Schizosaccharomyces pombe: one gene and its partners. The gene in region 1 interacts genetically with each later gene. Each region holds a gene or a part of one and is shown on either strand. Other genes may lie near its edges.

Evidence for each region.
Region 2: mutations in arg3 (region 1) and saf4 together harm fitness more than expected from each alone (negative genetic interaction), as found in Schizosaccharomyces pombe (one large-scale study listed by BioGRID).
Region 3: mutations in arg3 (region 1) and ppk8 together harm fitness less than expected from each alone (positive genetic interaction), as found in Schizosaccharomyces pombe (one large-scale study listed by BioGRID).
Region 4: mutations in arg3 (region 1) and cdc37 together harm fitness more than expected from each alone (negative genetic interaction), as found in Schizosaccharomyces pombe (one large-scale study listed by BioGRID).

Annotation. Positions count from the first base shown.
Region 1 is NC_003424.3:2,269,193-2,277,086, forward strand, and holds arg3 (ornithine carbamoyltransferase Arg3), read left to right. Parts: upstream 1-4,728; 5' UTR 4,729-4,819; coding exon 4,820-5,803; 3' UTR 5,804-6,324; downstream 6,325-7,894. Other genes in the region: DNA-directed RNA polymerase III complex subunit Rpc2, read right to left, coding at 1-330; arg11 (N-acetyl-gamma-glutamyl-phosphate reductase/acetylglutamate kinase), read right to left, coding at 827-3,484; cmb1 (cytosine-mismatch-binding protein 1), read right to left, coding at 6,386-6,985. UniProt on the Schizosaccharomyces pombe protein: Ornithine carbamoyltransferase involved in the synthesis of arginine from glutamate via ornithine and the urea cycle.
Region 2 is NC_003423.3:1,783,571-1,791,950, reverse strand, and holds saf4 (splicing-associated factor Saf4), read left to right. Parts: upstream 1-2,904; coding exon 2,905-3,165; exon of another isoform or gene 3,166-3,210; coding exon 3,211-3,459; exon of another isoform or gene 3,460-3,514; coding exon 3,515-3,904; 3' UTR 3,905-4,033; coding exon of another isoform or gene 4,034-4,308; 3' UTR 4,309-4,343; downstream 4,344-8,380. Other genes in the region: RNase MRP subunit, ribosomal protein L7-like Rpl701, read left to right, coding at 306-932; PPR repeat-containing protein Ppr2, read left to right, coding at 1,269-2,567; SPOM_SPBC18H10.09 (zf-CHY type zinc finger protein), read right to left, coding at 4,034-4,308, 4,344-5,473, 5,537-5,619; ubiquitin hydrolase Ubp4, read left to right, coding at 5,703-5,810, 5,871-6,014, 6,203-7,732; wbp4 (WW domain-binding protein 4), read right to left, coding at 7,945-8,380.
Region 3 is NC_003424.3:745,136-753,580, forward strand, and holds ppk8 (serine/threonine protein kinase Ppk8), read left to right. Parts: upstream 1-4,346; 5' UTR 4,347-4,794; coding exon 4,795-4,860; intron 4,861-4,977; coding exon 4,978-6,453; 3' UTR 6,454-6,537; coding exon of another isoform or gene 6,538-6,665; 3' UTR 6,666-6,704; downstream 6,705-8,445. Other genes in the region: bifunctional carbamoyl-phosphate synthase/aspartate carbamoyltransferase Ura1, read right to left, coding at 1-899; ime4 (mRNA (2'-O-methyladenosine-N(6)-)-methyltransferase), read right to left, coding at 2,008-3,267; nucleoporin Nup45, read right to left, coding at 6,538-6,665, 6,705-6,996, 7,053-7,161, 7,208-7,294, 7,338-7,944, 8,021-8,075.
Region 4 is NC_003423.3:1,827,872-1,836,213, reverse strand, and holds cdc37 (Hsp90 co-chaperone Cdc37), read right to left. Parts: upstream 5,128-8,342; 5' UTR 5,026-5,127; coding exon 5,003-5,025; intron 4,943-5,002; coding exon 4,916-4,942; intron 4,839-4,915; exon of another isoform or gene 4,587-4,838; coding exon 4,576-4,586; exon of another isoform or gene 4,534-4,575; coding exon 3,194-4,533; 3' UTR 3,084-3,193; downstream 1-3,083. Other genes in the region: anaphase-promoting complex TPR lobe accessory factor Apc13, read left to right, coding at 919-1,326; SPOM_SPBC9B6.11C (CCR4/nocturin family endoribonuclease), read left to right, coding at 1,410-1,635, 1,765-3,047; mdl1 (peptide-transporting ATPase), read left to right, coding at 5,374-7,554. UniProt on the Schizosaccharomyces pombe protein: Co-chaperone that binds to numerous kinases and promotes their interaction with the Hsp90 complex, resulting in stabilization and promotion of their activity.

The DNA of each region.
Region 1 (7,894 bases):
AACAGGCGCTCCTACTCGAATATCCAAGTACTTTAAGTAGAACCAAGGTTCAACGTCTGAAGTGACTTTTTCATTTGCTTGTACAATTTTTTTTAAATCAACATCAACAAAATAGTTATACGAGTCTAAATGCTGTTTAACAAGTCCTTTTACCTTTAAAAATGCAGGTAAAAGCTGCCATTTGTCTTCAATGGTGGGAACAGGGTCTGCAAGCTTTTTGCCCTTATAAACAGGTTTAAAGAGGGCTCCAAAACTCTCATCCTTCCCAATTCCACCTTTATTTATTTTGGGTTGGCTTTTTTGAGGGTCTCCGGCAGTATTTACCCCCATCGAACTCACTTAGTTGATAATGGCGGACGGTAGCAAAATTCCTCCCCAAAAATATACTTATGGAGGAAGCGTTAGTAATGCAAGGATAGAGATTTCTTATTACTTTGGGCTTATTTTTTAAGTAACATATATAATTTTAAATAAAGAAATAAAACTTATACGCAATTAAGATTATTGAAGCTTAACTATTTACCACTTTATTCTACGTACAAAAATTATTTCGTTGATGAAAATCTATACCATAGAAAGCAACTTCAAATCTGTTTATATAAGTTTTGAAGAGTCTGCGACGCACAGACAGAGGAATTTTGTATAACTGAACAAGAACTAAATTAAAATGTGTGGAAACTTAAGATGGTACTCGTACGCGACTTACTGCTGGCTATTTAATAGCAAGGATTAATGCATTTAGTTCAAAATATTTGTAACAAAAAAATATCCAAATGGTACACAGAAAGAATAAAAATAACAAAAGAATGGGCTACAAAAAATATAATCAATCCAAATGGATACCGGCATATTCATCGTAACCACAGGACAGATTGAGATTCTGGAGAGCTTGAGTAGCAGCACCTTTAAGTAAATTGTCGATAGTAACTACAATGACTGCACGCTTTCCAGAAGAGTGCACACCAAAACCACCAACTGAAACATGATGCTTGTGTGCGTTGTCCTTGACCAAAGGTACATCTCCTTGAACATGAATTAAAGGCTCACCATTATAACGGTCTTGGTATAAGTTACGAAGCTCACGGGAAGTTATACTTTTCTTTAACGGAACATTAATAGTTAAAGTAATTCCTTGGAACCATTGAGCAACGTGAGGAATAAAGGCGACAGGTTGCTTTAAACGATAAGAAATTTCACGTTCATGGATGTGATCAGTTAATGAGTAAGGTATCAAATTGTTTGTCAATACATTCAAGTCATTCTTCGGAGAGGGCTTAGTGCCAGCCCCAGAATAACCAGATACACCAAAAATAGAGGGCTGGCCGTCAATCAAAGAGAGTATGGGAGTTAAACCGACTTGCGATCCAGTAGCGTAACAACCAGGATTGGAAATACGTTTCGAGTTACGCAAAGCTTCACGGTCATTTAGTTCAGGAAGACCGTACTGCCACGAGGGCTCAAAACGGTAGTCCGCACTTAAATCAACAATGACACTTTTACCATTTGCAGACGTTAAAGCATCGACATAAGGTTTGCATACACCGTTGGGTAGGGCCATGACCCAAGCATCAACCGCTCCCTCTTCCTCTAATTTTTTAACATCATCTGTGGACAAGTTGACATACTGAATTTCTTTCTTAGTGTAGCCAGGAAGTTTGGTGCCTTCCAACTCACGAGAAGAAACATGAGATAATTCGAGATAAGGATGAGTGTTAATCAATCCAATCAAGTTCTTTCCGGTATAACCACGGGCTCCAAGGAGAACGACTTTTGCTGGCTTCGATGAGACCGCCTTCAAAGGTTTTTGGGTCTTCTGAGCCTCAGCAGAAAAAAATCGTTTTCCACCCTTTAAAAACAAAGAACGATTCATTTTTTTGTTTTTTGAAAATAAAGAACTAGTTGAGTAACTTCGTTTTTGATTGATCTGTGAAGAGGAAGGGTTGTTGGTGGTAGATGAAGCAGTAGGGGGTTTAGTGGATTGGGTCTGAATGATAGCATCGGCAAATGGCTTGTCAGACTGAATGAACTTGGAGATTTTATTCAAATCTTTTACACCGTACCAAAAGTAGTAAAAATTATTAGCAAACAAAGTACCTTCGCTTTTAGAGAAGAACCATTCCAGATTCTTGGCTGAAGGTTGAAGACGCCATAGCAAAGAAGGGAAGTCTGCTTTTAATGTTGTTAATATGCTATCAACAACATTGTTTAACCAATTATTGTCGGCGGCACCAAAAGCTAAGAGTACTGGCAAGGATGAGTCGGTGGTGTCGACAATAGCAACAGATTCATTGAAAGAGTCACTATAAATACGAAGTTTTCTGTCTTTCAGAGTATCCTTGAACTGTTTCAAGCTTTCACTAGGTGCGGCTAAAGAATTTTTTTGAATGATCAAATTTTCTAGAGCAGCGTCTGGAATGCTATCCAACGAGTCATGTTTGTTGATGACAAAACCGCGACTAATCAAAGTACCAGCGCCAGATTCCGTAAAAAGCTCTTTTTGCAAATCCTTCGTACTAATAATGGCTACGGAAGATGTACGGGGAAGAGTATCAAGTAACTCTTTGATTTCTTTGATTTTGAGCTTCGTACCATACTTGACCCATGGTTGCTTCATGAGGCCATCGTACTCCCTATCCAAATAGATGCTGCTAATTTTTTTCTTTGTTTCACCGTTGATAAGTCCACCTTTTTCATTGAGATAGACCACCTTTAGAGGCTTCAATACGCGAGCAAGCTCACCAGCAGTAATGTCGGCGTTGACATTCAACAATTGACCAGAAGCAGTTTCGGCCATAGACGTAAGAATAGGGAGGGTTCCAGCACGAATACTGTGTTCAATAGGAGCTTTGTTTACCTTGACAATCTTGCCAACATACTTGTATTTTTCTTTGTCGAGATACTCTGCCTGAAATACACCACCTGTAATGGGACGAGCACGAGTTCCCAACTTTTCCAAAGCATCTACAAGTTTCGCATTTTCCTCTAAGAAAACTTTACGAGCTACAGAAAGAGTCTCGGCATCGGTGATTCGAATACCATCGCTATACTCGGGTTCAACATTTCTGCTGGCAAGAATTTTGTTTAATTGGGGACCAGCGCCATGCACAACGATGGGATAAAGACCCACATGATTCAAAAAGGCAAGACTTTGTGCCAATGTGTCTAATTCGTCGGTGATAATGGCACCACCAACCTTGATAATAGCGAAACGTTGAGCTTCGAAGGAAGTAAAGTATCGTAGGTATTGCTCAACTTCACGACGGCTTCCGATGGAGGAAAGAATTCTAATGATGGCATCACGATCTTGTTCAATTGGTTTCGCGAGTGGGTTTAACGGTTGTTGTTGACCCGGGGCAAAACTGCCTTGAAAACGTTTGCTTGCAATGACTGATGCATTGGAACATAGTAAGCTCCTTTTCGTACAGTGTTTCGCTCCATTCCGTACAAGACCGGACTTGACAATTTGTTGCAATTCAATAAGCATTGCCAAATTCTAGTGATATTCTATGATTTACTGTAGTTGGTAGAAGGCAGTTTGGTTGGTTTCAAAATTGGAAAATCATTTGCTTCGTAAACGTAGCTATAATTCGTTAAAATTTGATTGCTGTATCTAGGGATTTGCTCTGGAGATAATCACTCAAAAAGATGAGATCGATAATGTTACTTGTTGGCTGAAAATTACATCGGAAACCAACAGTTTACATGAAAGTGCTGCAAACGTGAGACATGGACATTTAATGAATTAAAGCTATATAAATGACACTGTAAAAGCAACTCATTTGCCGACAATGAATCTATTTGTATATACATTATTTAATACTAGTCCTAACTGACACAGTACAATATTCATTATTTCTATGCAAGCCAGTTCAATATCTTGATTTATACATGAAAGCATTCTTTTGAAACAATATTTTGTTTTCTATTTGATTTCGCGTTGAATAGTCCCAATGACCCTGATGAGACAAAAGCACTTATCATAAAATTTATTATCTAAGATAATCTCGTTAAAAAAAAAAAAAAAAAAAAAAAAAAAAAAAATTTGGCAAGAAGCCCTTCTCTTTCGTTAAAACTTGTTTCGCTTTATGCAATACTGTAAGTGTAAGCTTGTAATATAGCGAATCTGTGAACTCATTGTTCATTTCATGGTAGTTGTTGATTTCACAAGCATGCTGAGTTATCAATATAGTAACACAATTGGTTTTATTTCAGCTCGCTTGAATATAGTGTCAAGAGATAATTGAATAAACAAAAAAAATAACTACACGTTTTTTAGATACATTTTATTTACAATGTATTGGTTCTTTAAAGAATGGGTGGTAAATAAAAAAAATATTACAAGGTCGAAAAAAATTCATCCCTTTTCATTAGTTCTATAATTAAATGCTAAACCCATGAATATTCTTTTACTGCTAATCAATTAACGATTTTGGTATTTAAAAGCTATTGCTGATAAGTATTCTGACGTTCTGTATCAATATTACCATGAATAACATAAGAAAAAGAAAGGAAATAGAATGTTTATGAGTAGTTTTTAATTTTTGACTTGTTTTATCATATTTCATCAACGTACTAGCTTGTTTGCAACTGAACTCTAGTGTACGATAATGTAAAAATTTTCCATCTCGTCGAAAATCCGCATACGATATATTACGGCGCCAATCTCGCAGTCTGAGAGAGAACTAGATATCGGCTATATGCAATCTCACCCTGAATATCTAAGAAATTACCAGTAACTTGTGGGTTCCTTGTAGTCGACTACAAAAACCGTATTTTTGATATATTTAGTCGAGAAGAATTATTCAGTTTGCAATTGAAAATGTCTTTCAAAAAATTTCCTCGTCATTTACTATCCATTCGTGATCTTAGTCGCGGAGAGATTGTAAAGTTGATCGATCGGTCTTCTGAAATTAAACAAGCTTATAAGCAGAATTTTCAGAATCGCCGTTCTGTTCAAATGAGTGGTTTGTCGTCTCAGAATGTCGCCATGATCTTCAGTAAGCGTAGCACTCGTACTCGTGTATCAGTCGAAAGTGCTGTCAGTTGCCTTGGCGGCAATGCCATGTTTTTAGGTAAAGATGATATCCAATTAGGAGTGAATGAGTCTTTATACGATACTTCAAAAGTTATATCAAGTATGGTTTCTGGTATTGTTGCTCGCGTAAACAAATATTCAGATGTTGCTACGCTCGCTAAACATGCCTCTTGTCCTGTTATTAATGGTCTTTGTGACACGTTTCATCCTCTCCAGGCGTTAGCAGATTTACTCACTATTAAGGAAACTTTCAAAAGCTTTGACGGTTTAAAAGTTGCATGGGTAGGTGATGCCAATAACGTTTTACATGATTTGATGATTGCAAATGCCAAGGTTGGTATTCATACTAGCGTTGCTAAGCCCAAGGACGTCAACGTTCGCGACGATATTTTATCAATCGTTAACGAAGCTGCGAACGAAAACGGTTCTACTTTTGAAATTGTTAACGACCCCAAGGTTGCTGTTAAAAATGCTGATATCGTCGTTACCGACACTTGGATTTCTATGGGTCAAGAAGCTGAGAAGGAACAACGTCTTAAACAATTTACAGGATTCCAAGTCACCGGAGAGATCATGAAGCTTGCCAAACCTAGCTGCAAATTCATGCATTGTTTACCCCGTCATCCCGAGGAAGTGTCTGACGAGGTATTTTATGGAGAGAACAGTTTAGTTTTCCAAGAAGCAGAGAACCGCAAATGGACCACTGTTGCTGTCTTGGAGGCTTTGCTTGTCAACCGTGGTGAAATTCTTCCTCCTGCCTCAGCCTAAACTGAAATCCTTAATTTCATTTTTATCTGGGGAATGTGCAAACAATGCCAACTTTATAATTTTTTTTATTGGGCGTGCAAATTGTGATATTCATTTTTGAAATTTTATGTACTTTGTTTCACAAAAAGAAAATTGACTTTTGAGAAAATTTTTTAATTGACAATTACTTTTCAGATTTTTTATGCGCAGGACACAGGCTTCTAAAGACGTACTTATACGTTAAAAAAGGGGATGGATCAATTTGGCTCATTAGTCCAACAAGCTTTGTGTAAAATTATTACCCGCTTAATGCTATCCTCTTAACTAGATATTTCAAGGTATCAAGCAATCATAGTATTAAGCACTATTATATGCAAAATACAATTTAAAATTAATAGAAACTACAAATAAGCGCAACACTCATAAGGAAAAAGCTTTGGGACAATAAAGCTTTCGTCAATGCGGAATCTACGACAGAAAGAAAACTTAGTGTAGGCATCGAAATTTATTATATTTCAAGCATGTATGCTAGTAAAATAAAACGTAAACTCATTGATTCAAGAAATCTATAGAAAAAAAAGATCTGGGCAAGTAGAGTGTGCATCATCGAAATCCGGCTTCTTTCATAAACTTATCGTATTGCTCTTTAAGTGCTTTGCTTTTATCAATAAATGGCTTTTTCTTGTCTTCCGCCAATTCCTTCCACGCCTTTGATGCATTTTGGGTCTCTTCAACGAGTGTGGAAATGGCTTCTGGAATACCTAACTCTTGACGTAGCTTGGGATTGTTTCGAAGCTCCTTGTAAAAGAGGATAAAAGCAGAAGAAGGTTTTTTAGGAACATCTGGATGACGAAGTCTGTAATAGCGACTGCCCGTGCTGTGAGCCTCCTTCGAGCGACGACGATTTTCACTATCGATTTCTGTAGGTGTAAAGGATCGTAGAGTCTCCATAAAACGCTTTTTCTCAGCATCGAACTGCTCCTGGAGTTTGTTTTTATACTTTTGGATCTCATCGGCAGTCAAAGCTTTGTATTTTTGACGAATCATCTCAAAGCGCTCAGGACCATTACCAGCACCTTTTGTTTCAACCAACATTTGATTCCAAATGGTTTTCAGCCTAGGGGGGATCAACTTCTGTAATCCATTCTTTTCGGCAGAAACGAGAGTAGTGTGAAACTGGCGTATTCTAATTGCAAATACCATTTTGTGAAAAATGATCAAAGATAATGGTGCTTGGTAAGTTAGGTAAGGAGGCATTGCGTCAAACAGACGCATTCAAGTACTGAGTAAATATCGGGTACGTAATATTGTACAACAGACAAATGAGTAGTAAAAAGACGGTTTACTCAATTTTTAATAGCATAGAATAAAGGCGTTAAAAGCAGTTTGTTTGTTTCTTGTAACCACAAAGGTAGTTTCTTTTTCTAAGTGAAACACTTCGACATTCAACATAACAAAGCGTTGGTCCACAGAATCAAAAAGGTACTCCAAAATGAAAAGGAAACAAACGCATCTTCATCTCTTGAGCAACAAAACAGCACTCATTTCTATACTTTTTCCAACCTTCCTTATATACCGTACCTCCCAGCACTCTCATATTCATTACTCACCATAGACTATATTGTAGCTGTGTATTTAGTATAAAAATGTTTCAGTGGAATCGTTGCTATTCACTATTCATTACAGTGTATTCTTTCAGCACGTTATTTTAATTTAATAAACCGAAATAACATGCCCCGGTTCTTCTTTTGTCATATTGGCATCTTGGGTTACTGAAGAGATGGGGTATACGTTGCTTCAATCTCATTAGTTCTAGAGCCCCTCTATACCCCGATTTCTAAACGTCAATCCAACTTAGTTTTAAGGCTGTCGGCCTAATTTAAAGTTCCTTTCTACAGCTACAAAATTTGTATTAAAGGGACGAGAAGCCCCCGGGTATTTGTTTGTTTTTAATAACATCTAGTGTGTATTAACTTTTCTTGGCTGTGTTTAACCAAGTCGTAAGTGTCTGCATTTTTTCGGTATTTCTTGCCGCTTACCACAAACTATAGTACCTTTGAAAAGTTGGCTGTTTTCCAGTAAATTTGCATCGCTTTGTCCGAGAAAGGAGCC
Region 2 (8,380 bases), on another chromosome or scaffold:
ATTTTGATCGGTTTGCAAGGGTTTTCACCTCCCAAAAATTAGTCAAACGCTTTAGCCTGTCATGGAATTTTTTATGATTGCTTTATTTTTATAAGCAATAATAAAGCAGATAATTGAGAAATATGAAAAACAAGATGATGACAACAAATTTCGGATAGCTAGCTTAGGCTGTGCGCGTTCCACAATTTACCATCTTTCGGGACTGATTACTGTTTTTCTACTTTTCTCTTTATTTATTTCTTTCCATCTAAATTACATCCATTCTAATTTCACAAAATTTCTACTGTATTAACTGTTATGTTTAGGCTCAACAAAAGAAGCGTGAGCTCATTGCAAAGCGCGCCGAATCTTACGATGCTGAGTACCGCAAGGCCGAACGTGAGCAAATCGAACTCGGTCGCAAGGCTCGTGCTGAGGGCAACTACTACGTCCCTGACGAAACCAAGTTGGTCTTTGTCATCCGTATTCGTGGTATCAACAACATTCCTCCCAAGGCCCGTAAGATCATGCAATTACTCCGTCTTATTCAAATCAACAACGGTGTCTTTGTTAAATTTAACAAGGCTACCAAAGAAATGCTTCAAGTCGTTGAACCTTATGTTACTTATGGTATTCCTAACCTCAAGACTGTTCGTGAGCTCCTTTACAAGCGTGGTTTTGGTAAGGTCAACAAACAACGCATTGCTCTTTCTGACAATGCTATCATCGAAGCTGCTTTGGGCAAGTACTCTATCTTGTCTATCGAGGATTTGATTCACGAAATTTACACCGTCGGTCCCAACTTCAAGCAAGCTGCCAACTTCATCTGGCCCTTCCAACTTTCTTCTCCCTTGGGTGGCTGGAGAGATCGCAAGTTCAAGCATTTCATCGAAGGTGGTGATGCTGGCAAGCGTGATGAGCATATTAACTCTCTCGTTAGAAAGATGCTTTAATTTGGTGTAGATGTTAAAAATAACCATATCTTTCCTAGCTTTGACAAAATAATTTACAACAAGTAGATTTAGTTGTTTTGGTCATTAGGTGTTATTAGTAAATTCATCGCTAGTAGTTACTTTCATTGTAATTAGCTTTGTTAACTCATTTTTGCAATCTTTTGTGTGCATATAGTAATTTTACCTCGTCAAACAGCACTTTTACTCAACGTTGTACATAAGACGATGGTTGAACTAATGATGTAGTGTCTTCATTCGTAACAACTCATATTTTATAACTTACTTCCTACTAACGCGGTTTTAATCCTAAACTTGAATAAACTAGTGGTTTGTTTAATGCAATTCATTAAAAGGACATTTCCGCGAAGGGCCTTTGTCGATTTGCTCCTAAACCGCTTCTGCTTGCGGGAATTTGCAACCACGTATAGTGTTTCAGTAAGTAATGCGCGGAAATTAGTACGAAAGCGCCTTTTAATCGCTGATGCTTTGAAATTCAAGGAGCAAGTCAACAATCTAAATGAGTTTCGAAATAAAAAAACTAAGTCATCCTTAATAAGAAACGATGGTTTCAAACTGGCTAAAAATGTATCTTCGTTACTTCAAAAAGAGTCTTTAGAGAAAGCATTGCATTTACTGTACGAGAGATCAAATGCCAAGAAGACGGTTGCCTATAACCTTGTACTACAATATCATTTAGCTAAAGGGCATTACAACGCTGCTTGGTCTTTGTACAATGATATGAAAAAGCGCCAACAAAAACCTAGCGATCATACATACTCCATTCTTCTAAAGGGATTTTGCGATGCTATTGAAAAGAATAAGCAAGGAAATTTTTCTAAACTACGTGAATATAGTGAAAAGGTAACAGCTAGTGCTCTCAAGGAGTCTAATAATGTCACATCCAATTTGCATCACATACGAATTATATCCAAGTGTAGTCTAAAGCTTAAAAGTATGGTATTGGTGTCAATGATTATTCCATCCATCAAACAAACATTGGATTTCTATAGTGGATCTCAAATTCTTCGACTTTTGAACGACTTTTCTATGTTCAATCCGGAACAACGTGAAGAAGTGTTAAAGATGGGGACGAATCTTTGGAATTATTTTGTCCTTGAATGCCAAAAGAAAGGAATAGCAGTTGATGAAAGTCTTATTTGTTCCTTTGTGAAACTTCTGGCTACTAGCAACTCGCCTCAAGTGAGAAACGTGGGGTTAAATATTCTTACAAAAGTGATGGGATTGGAATATCAGATTTTCGAAGATTCCAACTTGCGTTATCCTTTACCCCCATATTGCGATTGTACTTCAAGAAGTTTGGTTACAGCATTACAGGTCATTCGTCAAATACAAAACGGTGATTTGTTAGCAAGGTATTGGAAGTATTTTGAGGAAAGTCACAAATTTGATTTAAATCTTCAAGTATATCATGAGAAGCTACGTAACCTTGTTCAGCAGGGCCAAGCAGCTGAATGCTTAAATACCATTAAAAGGATGTCGCATAACGGTCCTTTCCCTACTCAGCAGACATTTTTGATTGTCTTATCATTATGCAAAAGGCCGAAATTTTATAGCTACACGAAAAGCTTCTTAGACTTGGCCAAGAAATTGAACGTCCCCGTTGAAGCAACCTAAAAATATCATCAAGTGTTTAATAATTCATCGATACCTTTTTATGTCATTTATAATTTTCTATTAATTTATAAGAAATGAATTCAAATAATCGTCATGTAATTTATTTATTTGTACATGTTTACCTTGTCCGTTTGAAACTGTAGAATGGAACCCTTATTATTTTAACGTCAATTTAGCAAACGTAATTTAAAATTGTTTGTTGAAAAGCCATGAATTAACTAAGAGTTATAATTATGTTTCTGTTGCATGCCACTGATTTAGCCTGAACTTCACCTAGACGTAGTATTAACTTAGGAACTACTGATTTTGGGCATAAAGAGCTATATACTCACTAAAAATGCAAGGATTTAATATGGGGAAATATATTCCCCCGGAAGGGCCGAATGCTAAAAGAAAATTTGATAAATTACGAAATGTAATTCGGTTTGAAATGCCATTTCCAGTGTGGTGCAACAATTGTGAAAATATCATTCAACAAGGCACTAGATTCAATGCTGTTAAAAAAGAGATTGGCTCATACTATACTACGAAAATATGGTCATTCAGCTTAAAATGTCATTTATGCTCAAACCCTATCGATGTACATACGGATCCTAAGGTACTGGTTTGATTAATTTAACAAATTTGTTACTGACATAAATAGAATACAGAATACATCGTTGCTTCTGGAGGCAGAAGGAAAATTGAACCTCAAGACATCAATGAACGTCCTGCAAAAGCTGAAAACGACGAAAAGGTGCCGTCTGATGCAATTGAAGCGCTGGAAACCCAATTAACTCAGCAAAAGTCAGAAAAGCATAATAGTTCTGTAATAAACTTTATATATGAGAAAAATGAAAGGCTTTGGTCGGATCCTTTCGTTTCTTCTCAGAGGCTGCGAAAACAGTTTCGGGTAAGAAGAATTTGTTTTGCGTTAAAATTTTCATATTAACTAACCCATAACTTAGGAAAGGAAAAAAATTGAAAAAAAGCAAGAAGCTAAAGATCTATCTCTCAAAAACCGTGCAGCGTTGGACATTGATATATTACCACCCTCTTCTTCTGACAAGGATAAGGCATTATTGTTGCTAGATAACGAATTAGGAAAGAATAAATTTATAAGGAAATTAGATTATAGAAGAACATTAATGCCCTCTTCTAGAACATTTTCGACTTTTGCAAAGTTTGCTGAGACTTCATTCGCAAAAAAAGATCCTTTTGCTCGAAAATTTGTCCCTTCCGAGAAGCTAAGGAGCGAGCAAAGGAAATTTCCTACAGAAAATTTAAAGGGAGAGAAAATCCTTGAAGATAATTCGGTTTCTCTCGTCAATTATGAAGTGAGTGATGATGAAGGATAATTATTTTGGTTAAATACGAAGACTTTAAAAGTATCTTCTATCAAAAGATTAACTACTTGTTATTCATTAAATTTTTATACAATATGGGTATCTAATGAAGCAAAAAAATATGGATGTCATGCAACCCAATTAATTACCGTGATGCTTCCTTTTGTACTTCCTTGGATCCTTCCTACTCATGCGAACGCGATCGCGCATTCCTTTTCCTCCCTCCCAGTAGGCACTGGTTTGTTTTTTCACAGTCATATTTCCACAATGGGGGCAAGTTGCATCCTTTTTGTAGAAAGATTCCATGGCACAGTACCCACATATTATTCGATTAGCATGCTCAAATGTATGATTTTGATCAGCGTCATGACATTCATCACATGGATAAACACGATCACAACATGAAAAACGAAACCCTGATTGTTAATTATGAATTTTATAAACGACTTACATCTGAATGATTTTTTGTAATGTTCGCAAGCACCATTATTGGGAAGTGGCAATCCTTTCGTAATGTTTAAGTTTTGTTTTTGCTTCTTTTTTGCGCTCACCTTCCCGCCCATTGAACTTTGTCGTTGTTTTAACAAATGAAATTCGGTATCTTGATGTTCAACCAAGATTCTGTTTTTGCATACTTTACAAAACTGTAGCATGGGCTGCATGGAAGAAATACCTTTAAAGGATGTTATCTGCTCATCAACACATTCCATACAAGAGACCTGACAGTCAATGGGCATCACGTCAACCGGTACACATCCTAAAGTATGGAGGATACCTAAACGGGCATTATTTGGGTGAATCACACCAGGCACCCAAACTAATCTTAGAGTATTACTACACTTATTGCAAACAAGAGAAAATTTTGTAGCAATAGAAATTTCACTTCCATAATGGCACCGAACACACTTTATGACCAAACGTAAAATTGGTGCTTTGAGAGTACCGACATTAGTTAAATGCGGATTCTTCCATTCTAAGCAGTATTCGTTACCCAGAAGCTCTGTGTCTTTGCTCTGAATGTCATGATCGTTACTGTAAGCATCCTGTGGTTCATTAACATTTTGTAGATCATCTTCTTTCCCATCGTTTCCTCCTTTTGAATAAATAATTTTTTTTGGCTTTTCATCATTGAATAACTGTTCAGAGCCAGAGATGGTAGTTTTTGTTTGGGTAGTATTCTGCTTTTGACAGTGATTTTGACCACGCAGTACTTCATAGTCAAGTGTAGTGTTCAAATGAACCCTCTCTGATAGAGGTCCTTCAAGCTTATTTGCCAACGGCTCTAAGTCAGTTGGGGTTTCTGGTTTCTTAGAATCGACTTGTTGAACCATCAACTCACGCTCTTTTGTATTGCATGTCTCAAATGATTTCCAATTTTGTAACAAATAATTAAATAAACTTGTCAAAGTTGTTTTCTGATTTTGAAATGCCGTTTCAACGTACTTATTCATTGCCGTTTGCATGAACTCTTGATTTTTTTCAAGTAATACCGATATTTGAAACGGTTTATCTTTATTTATAACTAAAGTAATCAATCCATGATCACTGGGCAAGGATAAGAAAATCTCATTTCTTGCCTCTCTGGTACTAGTTAATAAAGATGTTTACATTAACTAACCCACAGCTAACCTGCTTAGTACTTACATAACTTCCGGATTAAGCCTTCGCCGGAATACTTGTATCTGCAAGTCCCAATTTGAATCCTTCATAGCTTCAATTGAAACCATAATAACCAAAAAAGGCTATAGTCTTGTAGTATTTGGTTCAATTCAGGTTAAGTCGCCAACACAAATACTCGGTTCTTCCTCGGATGTCCGATGATTATTTCGACAGACTATTTGAATTAGCATTCGTTTATATTAATGAAGATGAAACGATTCAAAGCTGTTCCTTCAGAGGACAACGCTGGCTTGAAGAGGTATGTCTAATTTTTCCGTGCCGTTTATAGTAATGTGCTTCAATTACTAACAGTTTTGAGGCCCAAACTCTTGAACAAAAAAATTCATTACTCAAAGCATACTATTACTATTTAAAAGCACTAAAACTTGCTTACGAAATTCCATGCCGATTCGAGATTTCTGTTAAGTCTACTCATTATGGAGAATTCAAACAGTTCCAAAAGGTATCGACATTGTACATAGTATTTTTTTTAATGCTCAAAACACGAAAATTTTGTATTCAAAGCTCCCTAGCCTTCTCGTCAGATAAATTTGATATAGTTGACGAGACTGTACTAATTATGATCTTTGAAGCAAACTTAATTTATTTTTTGTTCAAGTTACAATCTTGAATACTAACATGTCCTTTTAGTTAGCAATTCAAGCCGTTTCCAAAGCCTTTACTATAAAAAGCAAATTAGCGGTGAAGCATTATTTGCCTGTAATTCAAATCTCTGACGCTCTTTCCCTATCAAAAAAATCATCACTTAAAGTTCTTTTTCTTAATTTCTATTCCCAAGAGTCTTCAAAGGGTTATGTTTTTTCGAAGCACACGATTGCCATCCCAATATCCTGTTTGCAATCGATGGATTCTTCAAAAATATATGACTTTTTAAAATCCGCACCTTTTCATCCAAGCATGGTTATTTGTTACAGTTTGGAAAGATACTTCGAAGACGTTTCTTTGGCTTACAAGCTTTACTCGATGTTACGTTCGTTGAAGTTGGATCCTCATTTCATGGAATTGGCGAACCCTAAGAAAGTTGATAGTTCTTTATCGTATGAAAATTATCAGCCTATAGGTTTAACGAATTTGGGTAATACTTGTTACATGAATTGTGTCCTGCAATGTCTTTTTGCGTGTAAGGACTTGACTATTCCTATGTTACAGGGGAGAGGATTGCTTCAAAATATCAATACCAAAAATCCATTGGGTACCGGTGGAAAAATCACATCTGCTTTCTTTTCCTTGCTTCAAAGTGTCTTATTAAACCATGGTCAGAGATCAATATCTCCAAGGAATTTTTTAGAAATTGTACAGTCATTGAATAGAGATTTCTCCATCGATGGCCAATGCGATGCTCAAGAATTTTTAAATTTCTTTCTTGATAAACTTCATGAAGATTTGAACTCCAATGCATCTCGGTCTCCGATAGCACCGTTGACGGAAGATCAATTAAGTGCCAGAGAAGAACTCCCATTGTCCCACTTTTCACACATTGAATGGAACTTGCATCTCCGGTCTAACAAGAGTATTGTGGTCAACAATTTTGTAGGTCAACTTTGCAGTCGTACTCAATGTATGACATGTGGCCGCACATCTACTACTTTTGCTCCCTTCACATCGCTTGCGATACCGATTGACGATGTCTCCCATGTAGTAAGCCTACAAGAATGCTTATTAAAATTTTCAGCTCCTGAACTCTTGCAAGGGCATGATGGATGGCATTGTCCCGTGTGCAAGGTTCAAAGGTCGGCAAAAAAAGTAATTATGATTTCGAAACTACCTGAATATTTGATCATACAAATTCAGAGATTTAAAATATCCGTAATGGGTCGTAAAAAAATTGATACACCACTTGGATTGAGCTTACAGATTCCAAGTAAAATGCTGGTACCACCGAGTTTCCAATCGGGAATTGGTTATATTCCTAGCAATTATAACCTGTTTGCATTTATCTGTCATTATGGCCAGCTCGAAAATGGACATTATATATCTGATGTACTTTTTAATAATGAATGGTGCCATATTGATGACTCAATTGTTCGAACAGTGGGCGGTATTACTGACTTGAGAGAAGATTTCTCCTCTTCCTACATTCTTTTTTATAAACGCTCAAGTCTGTTGGAGGAGTTTGAAGATAAGTGTCCCAAAATGACTTTGAAAAGAAATGTTAAATAAAACAAAATAAAAAAAGGAAAAATGTTTTCAATAAACCTCAAATATAGTTATTGAATAAATGTTCAACTTAGCATTCATAACCGATATGAATACTTACTTAATGCTGATTACCCAACACAAAAGCTACTCTCGTTATGTTGAACAGAATGCAGGAATTGGATACAAAATTTTTTCATCCTAGAATTTTTTTTAAACAAAGATGGTTTTTTTCTTCAAGATTGATCATATTCTTTTAAGGAAGATTTTGTTCTTAACTTTCCAGACTTTTTCTTTTTAAACACCACTTTGTTTTCATTTGATTCCTTGCTTTCTAGCGATTTGTTTCCCTCGTTTTCAGCTAACTTAGGTACTTTATCTAAGTTTTTTGGTTTTACCCGAAAATGAAATGAAGATCTTTCTTCTTTTTCGATGATCTCTCTGTTTCTTTTCAAAGAGGTCCCTGGTAGAGACTCATTTTTATTAGTAGTTGTTTCCTTGGTTTCTTCATTTTCTTCTTGCTTTGCTAGCAATGTAGGAATATAGCTGGTATGAGTAGTAGAGATGGTGTCAGTCTCCGTAGAACTTGTAGGAATATCCCAATCATCCAAAGTAGCTTTTTTTTTAGAGGGACGTAATTTTGGATGCTCCTTTTTTGGTTTCTCATACGAT
Region 3 (8,445 bases), 1.5 Mb from region 1:
GTCTCTTTGGTAAAATCATAATCCCAAGGAACAACCAATAATTCAACACCACGATTCAAAAAACAACGAATTTGGTTATATTTCATACCAACATCAATAACAAGGATACGGATGATTTTTCCATCTGCTTTTTTGATAGCTGTAGTAGGATGGGGTTCATAAAGTTTGGGTTCTTTAATGGAAACTTGAGACGTTAAATTTTCAGTATTAGGATTTTTCCATGGTATATCTTCAAAAGCAGTACTCCAGTCTTTTCCGAGACCAGTAATTGAAGAAGGATTGATGGGGGATTCGTCTTTTTGAATAAGTAAACGACCTAACATAGAACCTTGGTCGCGAATTTTTTTAGTAAGAGCACGGGTATCAATACCAAAAATACCAGGAATGCCCTGTTCCTTAAGCCATTCTCCTAAAGAAGAATGAGCAAGAAAATGAGAATAATTTTGAGAATAAGATGAAATAATAATAGCAGCAACATGAATTTGATTGGATTCGAAATACTTGGGTAAGCCAGATATCTCGTCTAGAATACGACGATCGGGCACACCATAATTACCCACTGTGGGAAATGTAAAGACCAAAATCTGACCACGATAAGAAGGGTCGGTCAAAGACTCAGGATAACCGACCATACCAGTCTGAAAAACTAATTCACCGGAGACAGAGTGATCAGCTCCGAATGAATAACCTTGTAAAACACTTTTATCTTCCAATTCCAAGGCCATTAGCTTATAATCTTTCATCTCGCCATTCACAGAGTAGAAGGCAGGAGATGGAGAGCAGGTGGGCTCTTTAGGATCATTTTCAGATGGTTTAGGACCATGAGTCCTTGGCATCCCCAGAGCTTCACTCTGGACGAGTGGAAATGATGAAGACAATGAAGGTAGCAATCCGGACATCGCTTATATCAACAATTCCACAGATTTGAGGCTTAAGACTAGCGATTCCCAGATATTGCTTCTAAGGAGTGGTTGGTCTCAAGAAAGAATTTAAAACCTGAGCAGAAAAAAAAATACTTACGCTTTCGTCAAAGCACAATGTACACTAAAATTTTTACAGATAAATAAAAAAAATTAAATAAATCTATTCTAATTTTTAGAATTCAGTTTCTGTGTTAGGCAGTTTCTAACAATCCTATAGGACGAGAACTGGCAAATCCGAAAGAGTTGTTGGAAAATTTTTTGCTTGTCGTGGATTAACCAGTAGTGCGGTACACTGTGCTACGGTGTATGTTTAGGGTATGACATTTCACTTCCGCTTTTCGGTCTTCGAACCAAGGCATTTTATGAGCGGTCTACTTGATACAAAATTAAAGATTTATATTGCTTACCAACTAACTTGTAAAGGAGAATATTTTCTTTTTTTCTCTGAGCAAATATAAAAGTTTCATGTATGACGCAACCTGTTTTAAAAACACAACGCCATCTATGATTAAATATTGTTATTTTGGTTTACGTAATTTTTCAGCATCGGTATCTACATAACACAGTACTTAGGATATCGGTAATGAAGGGATAGCAGCCGATTTGTGCTTAATACATTAGTCAATGAAAGCTTGGTAAAGCCAGTAAACATATCAACAGCTCATCATAAGAATATCAGTAGAAAAACAAAACGATGTCGACCTATGGTATATTAAGAAAATTTAAAAGTAAAACCTTCGCAATAGTTTTTTTCTCATCACGCCGTTTGAGCTTTTAGCAATAAAAAGTCGAAAGTGGTTTTTTATAAAAAAATTGTATCTTTGGTAGTTTAGTATTTTAGGAACATTAGTAGTGAGCTTTTCCTAATAAAGTTATACTACAGTGAATGAGTTTGAGCTCTTATAGCATAAAGTAGTTTACTCATAAACCATCAGGTAACGTTAAAACGTATTGATTTATTCTACGTCTTTCAGTAGTAATTCGTGATCTGAGATATCTTAAACAGAGAATGGAAGAAAAAATAAAACAACATTTAAACCATGGTCAAAAATTTACCACAATACGAACAATGTAGCATTTTCCATCAATTGTCTGATGACCAGTATAATTCATGCATAAACAACAAAGGTTCCCTCCCCCATGTAATCCAATTAGGTGTGAGACTACGGCCAAAAATTTCTAAAACAGGAAGCGATTCATTTGCCGAACAATTAAACCAACGTGAAATGAAAGGTTTTAATGATGGTTTCCTGGAATGATAATCTGGAATACCAATTATTGTAAACGTTGGAGGGATTTTATCACTATATACAGATGTATATTCTGAAGTAACTCCAATCAAAAGCTGTTCCCAAGGTTTGCGCATGTTTGAATAAACATCAAATAATGGTTCGCCAAATGCCGTTATTTTAAGCCATGTCCATGTAGAGACAAGCGTTAAATTCCATTTTTTAAAAAGCACTTTTTTAACAAAATTTACATACTTTTCCTTATTTGTGCACCAAACTGCCACGACGCCGGTTTTGCTTAACGATTCCTGAATTGGTAATGCTTTTAAATATCCAAGGTTCCTGTTCACCTTATAGACAGAGCTCCTAGCTACAGATTTATTCGGCCATGGAGGGTCTATAATTATGCATTTGGGTTTTTCTAGATGGCCATCAATTGCTTCTAAAAGGATTTGCGCAGTTTTCTCCACGTCACCCATAATAAAAGAGGAACGAGCAGGGATGTAGTAAATTGAATCCCTACAATTAGTTTCAGACGATTCAGTAATAACCTTTGATCCCTTCAGCTTTAATTTTATAGCGGACGCTCCATCATTTTGGACACATTGTTGATAAATCTCTTCCAATCCAAGTTCAACTGTATCTTTAGACTTTATAGTTATAAATGAATATGACGGTGGAATAGTATTCAACATTTTCAACCATTGCAAGCACTGATCCTCAAACTGTATAACCGGTGCTTTAACTAGTACTTTGAAAATGTCTGAGTACCATTGCACTAAAGGAGCATTTTCAGCTTGAAAATGGATTTCTGATGCACTAGTATTTGACCTGTATACGATATCTTGAAATTGAACATGGTGTGATTTATCGGTTGATTGATTGTCATCCAAACTGCGCAACTGTAAAGCACGACGAACTCGCTGAAGGCTTTGCAGTACTTGCCCTACAGTGCCTTTGCCACTGTTTTCATAATCCGAAGTTGATTTTTCGGGGAGTAAATATGGCTTCACGACAGGCTTCGTTCGAGTGGGCAAAATATGTTTATTAAATTGCAGAGATGTTGGCAAGTCAATGAGACAACTAGTGTCGTCCATGTATAATATACATGGCATTAAAAATTACACGAATACCGAACCTCAAACAATCGTGATAAATGAAATGCACAAGGACACCGCTGAATTTCGTTATAGCAATCTATTAAATTAGTAGCTCAAAAAATAGCTTATGTGCGCTCAACTCAAAATAAGAAGTAGCGAGTTGAGTTAATTAAATTCAGTCGGATAAGAATAATTGAAAATACCGCTCTCGACGCGTGACAAACGTGTATACTTTATCGAAAGTTACTCGATAGGTTTCGTCGTACCCATCAACTGGAGTGCAGTTAAACTTATTATGCTTAATACCAAATATTGAAACAACAAATCTCTATTGATATTTTAAAAACTTCCATTTAATGATATTTTTTAAAACTAATTTACGAAAACCGAATCTAGTTAACGTAGTTCTTTCAAACTAATACGGAAACATTGGTGTGCGATTTTCGATACTCCCCACAATAACATTGAACGATATAAAAAATCCAAGCTATTAAGAAGTACAAATTTTTCTATTGAACGAATTAGGTAATCAAAGCATTCATAGCTTGCAAAAACCAATGTTTTGTGGTTAGTCAGCCTTCAAAATGGTAACAAATTTATATGCTGCCAGTACGAAATATTAATTACATAAGGAAAACGATATGCTTAGTCTTACAAATACACACCTACCTTATCTCGCCTTAACGTCTCCACTATCAAGTAAGCAATTGCTGGTGATGACTAAATATATTTAATAACAAGCATCATAAAGATCGTTAGGATAGGAATCTGCAAAAATCGGAGCGTAAATAAATAAGCAGTTAATGGCGTAATGTTTTCACAAAATGATAACCACACTATTATAAAGCCATTACTTTTTTGACGAGATAGCATCATACAATTTATTGATAGGATTCAAGCAAAGGACCTGCAATCAGTATATAAATACGCTTCGTTTTTATGTTCAATTCGATCTTAAATTTTAGTTTGCCGATTCTATAGAACATTTTGGCATTGGAGTTTATGAATTTTTAAAAAAAACAACGCAGTCCGGCATTCTACGGTATTTGCTTTCGACGTTAATATATATCGAAACGTGGAACCATATTTTATTCACATTAATTTCCTCATCGAACCAACTCCGGTTTATCTCCTCGGACATTTATTAGATGAACCTATTCGGCTCGTGAGATTTGCTATATAAACATTACTAAATTGGGAATTGTCGTTACCAATTTTTTTTGCGATCAGGATCGACATTGGGATGCATAATCGTTTCGCTTCGTTTTAGTTAAACATTTTTTTATTTTGCTTGTATTGCATAGACATTGCGCGATTACAATTTTTTTGGTTGTTTACTTATTTGCGGTGTTTATTTTATTTCTTGTCAGTCATTATCAGGGAAGCGGTATTTGTTTGATTTTCTTTCCCGTCATTATAATCGGTTTCACTTAATTTCTGGATTCGTTTTATTTATTCTCCTTAATTATCACTTAATTCATTAATATATCTTTTTTACTTTTTTTTTGGAAAGAAGCTTTTACAATCACAATTCTTAGAGCAATGGCTGTGATCACGGAAGAGAACTCTAATAATTTATTTTGCACAGATTCATTGGAATTAACCTCGGTATGTTTTCTGCCTTTAATTTTTTTAGTTATCTTTTTTTCTTTAAAAAAAAGAATAGAAAAAAATCCTTATTTTTCTAAATATTCAAATATGGTGTACGCTAACTAATGATATTAGAATAAACAGGATGATCAAGTTATTTCGAATTACTTAAAGCCCGTCCGTTCATACCCCTACATTAAATATTCTCGAAGTAGCTTATTATTAACGGCATCTACAACTTTACCCGAAAACTTTGTGATTTCATTTACCAACTCCATTGAGAGTGAAGAGAGCGATAAATCTGATTACCTTCTCGATCATGCTCATAGCTTACAGGAATTATCGACTACTCACTCATCACTATCAAGCACTTTAACATCTATGTCGGAAGAGTCATCTTCCACAGAATCGAAATTTGCTACCCTTAATGATGGCATAAATGGTGGTAATCCATATAGCAGACTTTATCGAAAAAATCCATCTTCTGATCCAAACGATATCCCACCTCAGTTTCACTTTAAAAAGAAGTCTAAATCATTTTATAGTAGCATGTATGATAAGATGAAGATCAGAATTAATATCCTTCCGAACGGAAACGACAATTTTATAAAAAAACGGAACTCCGGCTTCGCTCTGGCGCCTATTGCTTGCTACAATCATACTTCTGATCTTCGAAAATTGCTGAAACACAAAGTAACTGGTAGCAATGCTAGCATCTTTAAGAGAATCAACCCGAGATCAAGAAAGAGAGTTGTAAACCCGGAATGTTCCGTAACTGATACACCTTATGGAAAGTTAAATAATGTCATTGGGGAGGGAGCGAGCTCTTTCATTCGGGTCATTAATGATCGAAACAAATTGCCAATTTACGTTGCCAAAGTATTTCGTCCTCCATTAGATACCTCATTACTGCGCAGGTATGTACGTTATTTCATTGCAGAGTACACTTTTGCGTCGACACTCAGGCATCCCAATATCATCAAGGTATTAGACATTATATACAAAAGGCATACTATTTTACAAATAATTGAGTATGTTCCTTATGATCTTTTTACCTTTATTACCAAAGGTCATTGCTCTGCTTTAAAAGCTGATCAAATGTTTTTTCAATTGTTAGATGGCGTGGCTTATATGCATTCCCTTGGCATTGCTCATCGTGATATAAAATTAGATAATATTATGCTCGATGAAAATTTAAATGTTAAGATTATTGATTTTGGTACTGCTTTTGTTTTTCATTATCCATTTGAATCAACCACTCTGATGTCTGATGGTGTAGTCGGTTCAAAACCATATGTTGCTCCCGAAGTTCTTACTCAGAAACCATATGATCCGAGCGCTGTAGATGTTTGGTCTTGTGCAATTGTTTACTGTTGTATTGCTTTAAAGAGATTTCCATGGAAAGTGCCGCATACATCGGATAAACGTTTTAATTTATACGTTACTCAACGAAATGACCCTAACACGAAAAGCCAATTGATAGAATCTTTACCGATGAACTCAAGAGATACGATTTATCATATGCTGGACATTGATTTTAATACAAGATGTAGCATTTCGGGAGCACGAAGCACTACATGGATGCAACAAGTTCGGAAAACTCTAATCTAAGGAGAATTTGTCTACTTTAGAGATTTTTATCTATTTATTTTTTTTATGATGTTAAGGATTATGAAGTCCCTTTAATGATCGCTATTAACTTATAAAGGGCAAGGACGTTGAAGTGTTCACTTGTAGACGCTTTACTTCATCGTGAACTTGAGCAAATCTATTACTAAGAGCCATGAATAATTTGTGCTCCTCTTTGATAGTTTTCAGTAATGCTAGATAGTTAATACAAGTTTTACAAATTAAAGGCATACCCTCGGGACTATTATTCTGTGGCGTAGTCTCAACTTGCTCCAAATGTTGTTCAAGTTCACCAATAGTGGCAGCATACAGATCTGTACGTTTCTTAGCGTTTTCTGTAAATTGCTCAAAGTAGTTCATTAGGGGATCGTTTGACGCGAAGGGATAGGTTGCGCCAGGTGTTTTAAAAACGTCCAAAATACGTGAACTAATGCGAGCATTCGAAGTATCTTCGTCAACTACACGCTTCGTAGTTTCAATTTCGTCGGAATCAATTAAAAGTGCAGTCGAGACAGAAGATAAACGCTTTATTTTAGTTAGAAACAAATAAAACTTGGAGATAATAGAAGGAAATAACTCACTCTCTGTACTTCAGCGACATCATTAGGGACGGATTCAACCAATTCGGAAACAGTCCCCAACTTAGTTTGTAGTTCCTCTGCAAGTTGGATTTGGCTAAAAATTTCTTTGCTACGGACATGATTAGAACAAATTTTGTACATAAGGTAACACATACTCTAAGTCATCTAAAAATTTTTGAGTATTAGCGTTTAAGCTCGAGTATCTCGTCGTTGCATTAATAGCTGGATTAGAAGGGAGTTGCCTGTTTTTTTGTTAATGAAAAAAAAATTTAATAATTAACTTACGTTGTTGACGGTTGCTGCTGAGCTGCAGAAAAGAATGGAGTAGTTTGAGTATTATTGCTTAAACCAAAACCAGTTGAACCAGACGGTTGTGTGGATTGACCAAAAAGGCCAGCGGAAGCTGGTTGTGTAGAAAATTGACCAAAAGTCGAAGTATTAGGGCGGTTTTGATCAAATAGACCTCCTGTAGTTCCGATGTTAGACTGTCCGAAAAGAGAAGTATTTGCTTGAGCAGGCTGTGTTTGCGATTGTGTTTGATTTTGACCAGATAATCCAAATAATCCTCCAGTAGGGGCTGCTTGAGCAGGTTGTGCTTGTGTTTGATTCTGATTGAACAAACCACCAGGTGCTTGAGGTTTAGTAGTGGAAGCTCCAAACAGGCTGCCACCAGGTGCCGCTTGAGGGTTTTGTCCAAACAAATTTAGGCCGGGGGTAGTAGATGTAGCGTTTGGCTTATTTCCAAACAAGCTTCCACCAGTTTGAGGTTTTGTTTGACCAAAAGCTCCTCCTGTTACGCCTCCAAACCCAGTCGAAGCGGGCGTATTGGCCTGCGTATTGTTACCAAAAGTATTAGAAGAAAAAAGTCCTGTGCCTGCAGAAGTACCAGTATCTGAAAAGGTTAATATATGAATAAGCACAAAATTCGAAAAGTAAACTTGAAGACTTGTTCACCTAAAGAAACATACTTTGGTTTTGGGTTCCTGTGGACCCAAATGAGGGTGTTTTATTTAACCCGAACATTGCTTAAAGTATTAATACACGAATGTCCCTAGTGTAAATACCATGCAAAGATTATCATGAAAAACCACTCAGGTTATCTTTTCTAAAAAGGGTAATTGTAGAATCACAATCAATGATTAATATTATAATTAAGCAAAGATGGAAAAGATTAGTTATCTAAAGTTTCAAATTGAACTAGCTTTCAGGGTATCGTATAGTCAAATACTGCTGTGTTCGCAGAGCAAATTCAATTGTTAGTGTTAACTACAATGTGGCTCACTAAGTTGGCTTTCACGAGTGTTGGTCTGTTTCAACCCGTTTTAGCGCAAAATATTTTTACCCAGGTAAATGAAGTACGCTATGAAGTCCACTAGTATATACCGTACAACTC
Region 4 (8,342 bases), on another chromosome or scaffold:
AAGGAATGATAAACGATATAGGTTTGAATACAAAATTATTCCGAAAGTTACTTCTGAAGGGTTGGTTGTTGGTTGTGTTGTTGCTTCCGTGAAAGTTATTGTTTAGCTTCCAAATGTAAATAAACAATGAATAAATCTTGGAATTGATATGCGATTGGCAATGAATGATAGCTTAAACTTTAATTTTTTGCTGAAAAATAAACAGAACGTTTTCGCAGAACGATGTGTATTGTACTAGTTTGACTGTGGAATACAAGTTTGTTTATGCAAAGGTAGACACATATATATATACAGCACATGACTCTAAGGTGATGCACTAATGACTAGGAATACTTTTAACATAACCATCACAATTTTGTATTCTTTTTACTAATTAGGATGGCTGATTTATGATCTGCCAAAGCCTCTTTAACTCAAAACAGTATATGATTTGCCATTGACATTTTTTCAGAAAAGGGGGAATATGATTATATGATTGTGAAATATACGCTTAATTTTTCATTATAACTCTGTCAGTATTGCTAGGGTTTTGGACACAATCATAGCTTAAGTAAAACATTGCACTATTAGTGTCATTCTTTGAAATTTGTAAGCTAAGCAAGCACATATATTTACCTTATTTATCAAGAAAAATAACATGCCAATAGGAATAAATAGATTAAGAGACGAAGGTTTTGAGAAGAATAGTAGCAAACCACCTAACTGATTTTTATTTCTACTTAAAAGTTCATAGAATTATGTGAATAAGAAATTAATCTAGAATTCTTATAATTGATTTTCATGGAAAGATCTCCCTCCCCCCAACTAGTAGACTTTGCTGCTAAATGCTTTGTTTACACACTTACCACCGACTTCTCCAATAACACCAACCGTATAAAAGCACCATAAGTCTCCTACTTGGAATCAGTAAAACAATTAATGGATTCGAATTACAATTATGTTCATATGAATAAACCGGGAGTAGTTTTGTTTGCCTCGGATTGGCTAAAAGATAGACTTCCAGTTGACGATGTCGAAGTGCGAGTAGAACACTTACCACCTGTTACAGAAGATGAGATGACTATTCAACATTCTAGTGCAAATCTAATCTTAATGAAAAACAAACAGCTTAGGCATGAACCGGCTTGGAAAGATTTGGAACTCGAAGATTTAGTTAATGCCTTTGCATTCATTCAAGGCTCTTCAAATGCCGAGGGTAAAAATACAATTGAAGATAATTTTGAAACAGATCCTTTCAAATCAGTCAAAGAAGCTCCAATGGCTCCTTTTCTTGAAGCGAACAGAAGGCATCAAGGAGAGCACGCTAGTATGCGGTATTTTAGATGATATACCTGAGGTTGTACGAACCAACAGTCGTTAATCCATTTCGGCTGTGAAAACTTAAATAAAGTCTACTCAAAAGTCATTGTATGTACACTTGTCCTAAAACGTGTACATTGACTTTGAAGTTTTTTATCGATCGATTCCACACTGATTATAGATTATCCAAACTTGCTATATCATTCTTTGATCAGAAAAAGAACAAGATGGCAGATTCGATACCCGTTAAGAAAAAAGGCTCAGCTAAAGGCCCTCCTTCGTTCGTAACGCCTGAATACATAGAGAAACAACGCCAAAAAAAACTTGAGAAAATGGGTATGAAAAAAAATTTTCGTTCATCTAGTCGAGCAACAATAAGAAGGTTGTTGTGAAACTTTTTTTAAGACCGAATCTCTACTCCTTTGTTTAATTTTTTGTTGCTCAATTTTATTAACTGATTATTAGCTAAGAAGGCTGCTCGAAAACCTATTGCTCCACCAAGCAATGCTCCACCCGAATTCAATACGGACTTTATAAAGCGTGAAATGCTCTCCATCCCTAATTATGCACCGTTTGAAACTGAAAAGTCTGCATTGGATATTACTATTATGACTTACAACGTACTTGCTCAGACAAATATTCGTCGTTCAATGTTTCCACACAGTGGTGAGGCATTAAAATGGAAAAATCGCTCACGAATGCTCGCTAATGAATTAACCTATTATTCACCAACTTTGGGATGTATGCAAGAAGTTGATGCTGAATTTGTTCCTAATTTCTACAAGAAGTTATTAGGTGGATTGGGTTATGAATTGCATTTCATAAAAGGTGAAGGTAAAACTCATGGAATTATGATTTTTTGGAAATCCTCTTTGTTCAAAAAGGTGCAAGATTTGACTATTTATTACGATGATCATGATGAATTACCAGGTAGAATGAACACCAAGAACATCGGTTGTTGTGTACGCCTTGAAAGGGTAGATGACCCGAGCAGAGGGTTGTTCTTGGCTACTACACATTTATTTTGGCATCCTTACGGCTCTTACGAAAGGTTACGCCAAGGTGCAATATTGGTAAAGGAAGTAAACAAGATGGCACAAAGTCATCCTTCTTGGCCTGTTTTTATAGCTGGTGACTTCAACACTGAACCGTTCGATACCAACTTTCCTGCGCTAACTACCCGCCCTCTATCCATCTGCCAAAGGGCTACTGACATTATAGAACGTAGTATGAATTACGTATTTGGGGAATCTGAGTTGGAAGAAAAAAATGCTAGTACTAAGACAGAAAATGATTCCAATGAAGATGACAAAGAAGAATGTCAATCCTCTTCTACCTCAAGTGTTCCCGAATCCACAGCTTCTACCCCAAAAAAGAGAATTTTGCATGTACAAAATGACTATGTACCTCACTACCGTTCTTTTTATCAGCAGCACGAGCAAAATCCCGTACTTTTCAGTCTTTATTCAGTGGGCTATAAACTGGTTCACCCAGAAAATGCAAAAAATACGTTTGATCATCCAGCATTTACCAATTGGGCTCATGCTTACCAGGGCCATTTGGACTACATATTTGTTATGAATCGTGATACCTCACTTCAAACTCCCGAAAATCAAGTCGTTGAAGGTATAAAATTAAAGGCACTGTTACGTGTGCCTTTACCCAGTGAGATGAAGGAAGCGGAGCCTTTAGAAGGAAGATATCCCAGCGACCACGTTGCTTTGATGGCAAATGTACAAATTGTTTAAATACTTATTTTATTATACGGTACACACAAGGTATGGTAAATCAATAAATAAAATTTCATTGTTGTTTATCCATTTAAAAATGCCAACGGCAAACATGTAACTTTGGTGTTTTCGCTTACTAAAAGCACACCCGTAAGCAGAAAAATTTAAGACAATTGAGGAATAGTCTCACCTTTCGTTGTGTCGATGATTCCTTCTTCGATACTCAACATACCAGTACTGCTGAGCTTTTCCACAACTTCTTCTGCATTTTCAACTGCCATTTTTCCAAGAACTACATTAATCTTGTCTAAATCATTGGTCATAAGAGCTTTTTGGAGGTTAGGAGGAAAAGACTCAAAAGCTGCACGAGCTTTTTGTGTCTCTGGATCAGTAGAACCTGCCTCCGGGATGGTGATGGAAAGTTTCGTATTAGGATCAACTGCACAGAGCTGGATTTGTTCTACTCCTTCACCGCTTTCAGCTTGTTCTTTGCTGATGGCAGCAGAACGTTCATGGATTCGGACATATGTATTATGAACATCCTCTAAAAATAGCCGCTGAGATTGGTGATTTGGGTCTTTAATTTTTTGAAAAAATATTGATAAACCATTTGGTCCAAGCTGTCTGCAATAGCTGATCAAAAGGGCTTGATGAACATATTGTTTTGCTAAGGACGGCTTCCCTTCTAGTTCAGCATTAAAGGCTTCCAAAAGAATAGCATCAGATTCTTCCTCATCTGCCAAGATATTTAAATGTTCTTTCAAAAACTCTTCCGATGAAGAATAATCACCAAAATCAATATTGGCAAACTTCTTACCATCTTCAGAAAGAGACAACCCTTCTTCATCTTCCGACTCATTCTCATTGACAGGATTTTTAGGGGCATTACCAGTAGAAGCTTGCTCTTTAGCGCCGGGAAAATCAGTAGGAGGTGTAGGGTTATTAAGAGATTCAATGACCTGGATGGTCTCCTTTTTGGTTTTAGTCTTTTTAGGTTTTTCAGGCTCCTTTTTCTGAACATAGGTGGAATCAAAGCCCAAATGCAAGTCTTCAGAAGTGATGTAATTTTTACTCTCAGCCTCTAAAGTATCATACTCCTTTTGTGCATCTTCTAGCAACTTCAGAAGACGCTCTTTGTGTGACTTTAATCGTCTCAAGCATTTATCCGAATCATCCATAGATTTTTCTTCGGTAGTGTCTTCGGCATCTTTAATTACTTTTAATAAAGACATAAGCATATGATGATACGACATGCCTCCAGGAATGGCACTATCCATATCTTCAGACTTTTTTGCCTCTAAAAATGAACCCAATAAAACATAAGGATCCGAAGGAGATTCCTTCTCAAGAACAGTCTCCATTTCGGAGATGCGAGACAAGAGTCTACGATTCATCGCCATTGCACCTTTGATATCTTCCATTTTTTGCTTTCTAACAGCCCGTTTTTCGTGGATATCACGTTGGCGCCATCTAATAAAAGACTTTTTATCGACATTTGGATGAACTGCATGTGGTTAATTTAATATGAATACAACCCGTAACAAACCTTCAATGTCACTAAATGTTGTTAGCATGAATTTATCAAAACGAAAAATAAATGAAGAAGGAAAAGAAAGGAATGTTTTGACAATGGTTGTTTATTAGCTAAAAGAACCCAATTGGCATCAAATATACAAACTGCAAATTAATGATTGCCTTTTTGAACCCAACATGTCCTTCAAAATGATAAAAAGATGAGTCTGAATTTTATTTTTGAATTTATTCCATCCTACTAATGAAATTTCATTTCGACTTCTTTTATTGTACTCCAATCAAAGGCATCATGTAGAGTATTTAACCATTGTCCTTACAGAGCCGATTTCCTCTCCAAACCGTATATTTCATACCTGTCATCACTAAGTTCTAGCTTATCCCTGTCAATTCTGTTAACTTCATATTCGCCTACTTAAAAACAAACTTATCAATAAACTTACCACTTGCTGTAATCAATTGCCATCTCGAAGCAAATTATAATTTCAAGAAATTTAAAAAAAGTAAAAGACACAAATGTCTTTGCTATTCTCGTCGATTTGACTTGTTGTAGAGAAGTGGTTGTGTTAAGGTAAATGAAATCTTAGTATGTACCAAAGCACCTACCTTATGCGAATGTAGAGTACTTCGTGGAAATTCTATCGAAACTACTAATACCGTAGAGAAGAGAAAATTTGATAGAACGAATACTAATAAAAAGTATATATTAAATAATTTATTTGTACATACTTTGCGCACCTTTTGTTGCCAAAAGCCTGTGTAAACCCCGTTTCGAAAAGATTCCGTTCATTTCCTTTGAAAGGCACATTCATGGATGGATCCAATACGTTTTGGACTTTCGAGAGTACCATTCGCTCACTGCTACAATAAACGCGTAATATTTCGAGCAAACTATTTAGTACCGTTGACTTGGTTGAAAAACAACGTGGCTTACAAAAGTACGAATACTCTATTACTTCCCACGCCAAATGCAGAATATTATAGTACCAGTAAGTTATCTTCACAGGTTAATGTGAGCCTAAACTCGTTATCTCAAAAGGCCTCAAGTGGTTCTAAGATATATCCTTTTAAAAATAGTTTTCCGTTACCTTTTTCTAGATCTATTCTTCCTATACGATCACTTGCTTTTTTAAAGTTGTGTGTGCGACATAATTCTACAGTTCCATCAAAAGATGAGCAAGCACAGGATATCTCAAAAATAAATACAAATGGTACATTACAAACACCAAACAAGAAAGTCAATGTTTTTCGTCTCTTCACACTAGCAAGGGGTCAGGGATGGAATTTTTTTATTGCTGGATCTCTTCTCTTAGTTTCCTCCGGCGTTACAATGTCCATTCCCTACATTGTTGGCAAAATCTTAGACGCTGGCTCGTCAGGCGATTCTTCTGTCACGCATATCATGGGAATTCCTTCTGGTACGTTTTATATTGGTTTGTTGGGTTTATTTTTCCTTGGTTCAGCTTGTAACTTTGGTAGAATCATCACCTTGCGTCTACTGAGTGAAAGAATTGTCAGTCGTCTTCGAGCACGCTTGTTTGCTAAATGCATGTCATTAGATGGAGCATTTTTTGACTTTCATAAACATGGGGATCTCATATCCCGTCTTACGACGGATTCGAGTATTGTCGGTAAGTCTTTATCAATGTACTTAAGTGATGGTCTTCGTAGCTCAGTTAGTGCAATTGCTGGAATAGGGATGATGCTCTACGTATCCATGAGACTCACTGGATATATGTCCCTAATTGTACCCCCAATTGCATTGGGAGCTTTCTTTTATGGAGAGTATGTTCGGAAACTTTCCAGGACTACACAAGATGCTCTCGGTGATTTAACAAGGGTTTCAGAAGAGAAACTCGCAAATGTTCGGACTACACAGGCTTTTCTAGGAGAAAGACAAGAAGTAAATCGTTACAACGATTACATTCGAAATCTCTTTGTCCTGGCAAAGCGAGAGGCTTTTGCTAGCGGTATTTTCTTCGGGTCAACAGGGTTCCTTGGGAACGCAACTGTAATCGCTATTCTTGCGTTAGGCGGAAGAATGGTTGCTGCAGGTGATATAACTGTAGGACAGCTAAGTTCATTTTTGCTGTATACCGTTTATGCCGGTGGAAGCATTGTTGGCTTATCAGGATGTTTTACTGATATTATGAAAGGTCTGGGAGCTGCTAGTCGGTTATTTGAACTTTTAGATGCTAAACCGAAGATAGCTCCAACCGTTGGGATTCCCGTTCCAGTCACAGTCGGAAAGGCAATACTTTCGTTCAGAAATGTTGGGTTTGCATACCCAACTCGTCCTTCAGCTTCAATATTTGATAACTTATCTTTCGACATTCATCCAGGCACCAATGTTGCTATAGTCGCACCTAGTGGCGGTGGAAAATCCACCATCTCACAGCTCCTTTTGCGCTTTTACGCACCTAGTAGTGGGAAAATATTAGCTGACGGAGTTGACATCTCTACATATAATGTTCATCAATGGCGCAGTCATTTTGGTTTAGTTGGACAAGAACCGGTTTTATTTTCTGGTACAATTGGCGAAAATATTGCTTACGGTAAATCTAACGCATCTCAAGAGGAAATCGAAGATGCTGCCAAACGAGCGAATTGTAGTTTTGTGCTTTCTTTCCCGGAGAAATGGTCTACGCAAGTCGGGACTCGTGGTTTACAACTAAGCGGGGGACAAAAACAACGCATTGCAATTGCTAGGGCACTTCTTCGAAATCCAGCATTTTTAATTTTGGATGAAGCTACTTCAGCATTAGACGGTGAAGCAGAAGTAATGGTGGATAAAACGATTCAATCTTTGATGCATAATCGTAGTATGACTACCATTACGATTGCTCACAAATTGGCTACTATTCGCCGAGCTGATCAAATAATTGTTGTTGGAGACGGGAAAGTTTTGGAGCAAGGGTCTTTTGAACGATTGTCTCGTCCTGGTACCAACTTTTACAAGTTAATGAGATGGCAGCTTGGAAAAGTTGAACCTTGATCGTAAACGTGAAGTATCTCTTGTTCGTTTTATTAATTTATTCATGCGTACTCTCAAGACGCAATTTTCAATCATATCTTTAAATACATCGGTACTCTATTCTTTTTTTTCTTCGCTGGCATATAAGATTAGCAAATTAATAATATTCAGTTCCGTAATTAGTTTGGCATTTAAAGAAAGGGCTGCGGAAATTGTTCCTTTAAGCAATATCAACTGAGAAGAAACTGTAAAATCTAAAACCCCAATAGCAAACTTAAGTTTGAAAGGAGCAAATATTAAAAGAGAGAGAATATATATTAATTGCACAAAATTCGTTACGCTTGTAAATCTCGACAATGAAAAATCGTCCAGTAGTTTATGCGGCAAATGGAAGTGAAGCTAGATACAAATCACATTAAATGAAATAACTACAGTACGGACGTTCAGTATTTGCTACAACGGTAAAAGGTTCAAGTATTTTTAAATAATTTTAGAAATCATATTAAAGGGTGGAAAGTCGACAAAATCAACAAGCATAAAAAGCGGTAAGCAGTACACCAAGAGACGGCATACCGTTATGAAACGCAATATAAGGGAAGGACGAATAAACAGACATACCCTAAATATCAAAGCACAGATCCAAGAAAAAGTATAGTTACAAATCTGTAGTAGGTAGACAAAGAATTTTATATGAGAACTGAATACTTAAAAAAGTATAAATTATAAAAAAAATTCTTAGTCAGATATTATTTTAAACACTGCTAATTGTGTCAAAAGGAAGGGTAGTGTGCAAGCATTGAAAGCAAAAA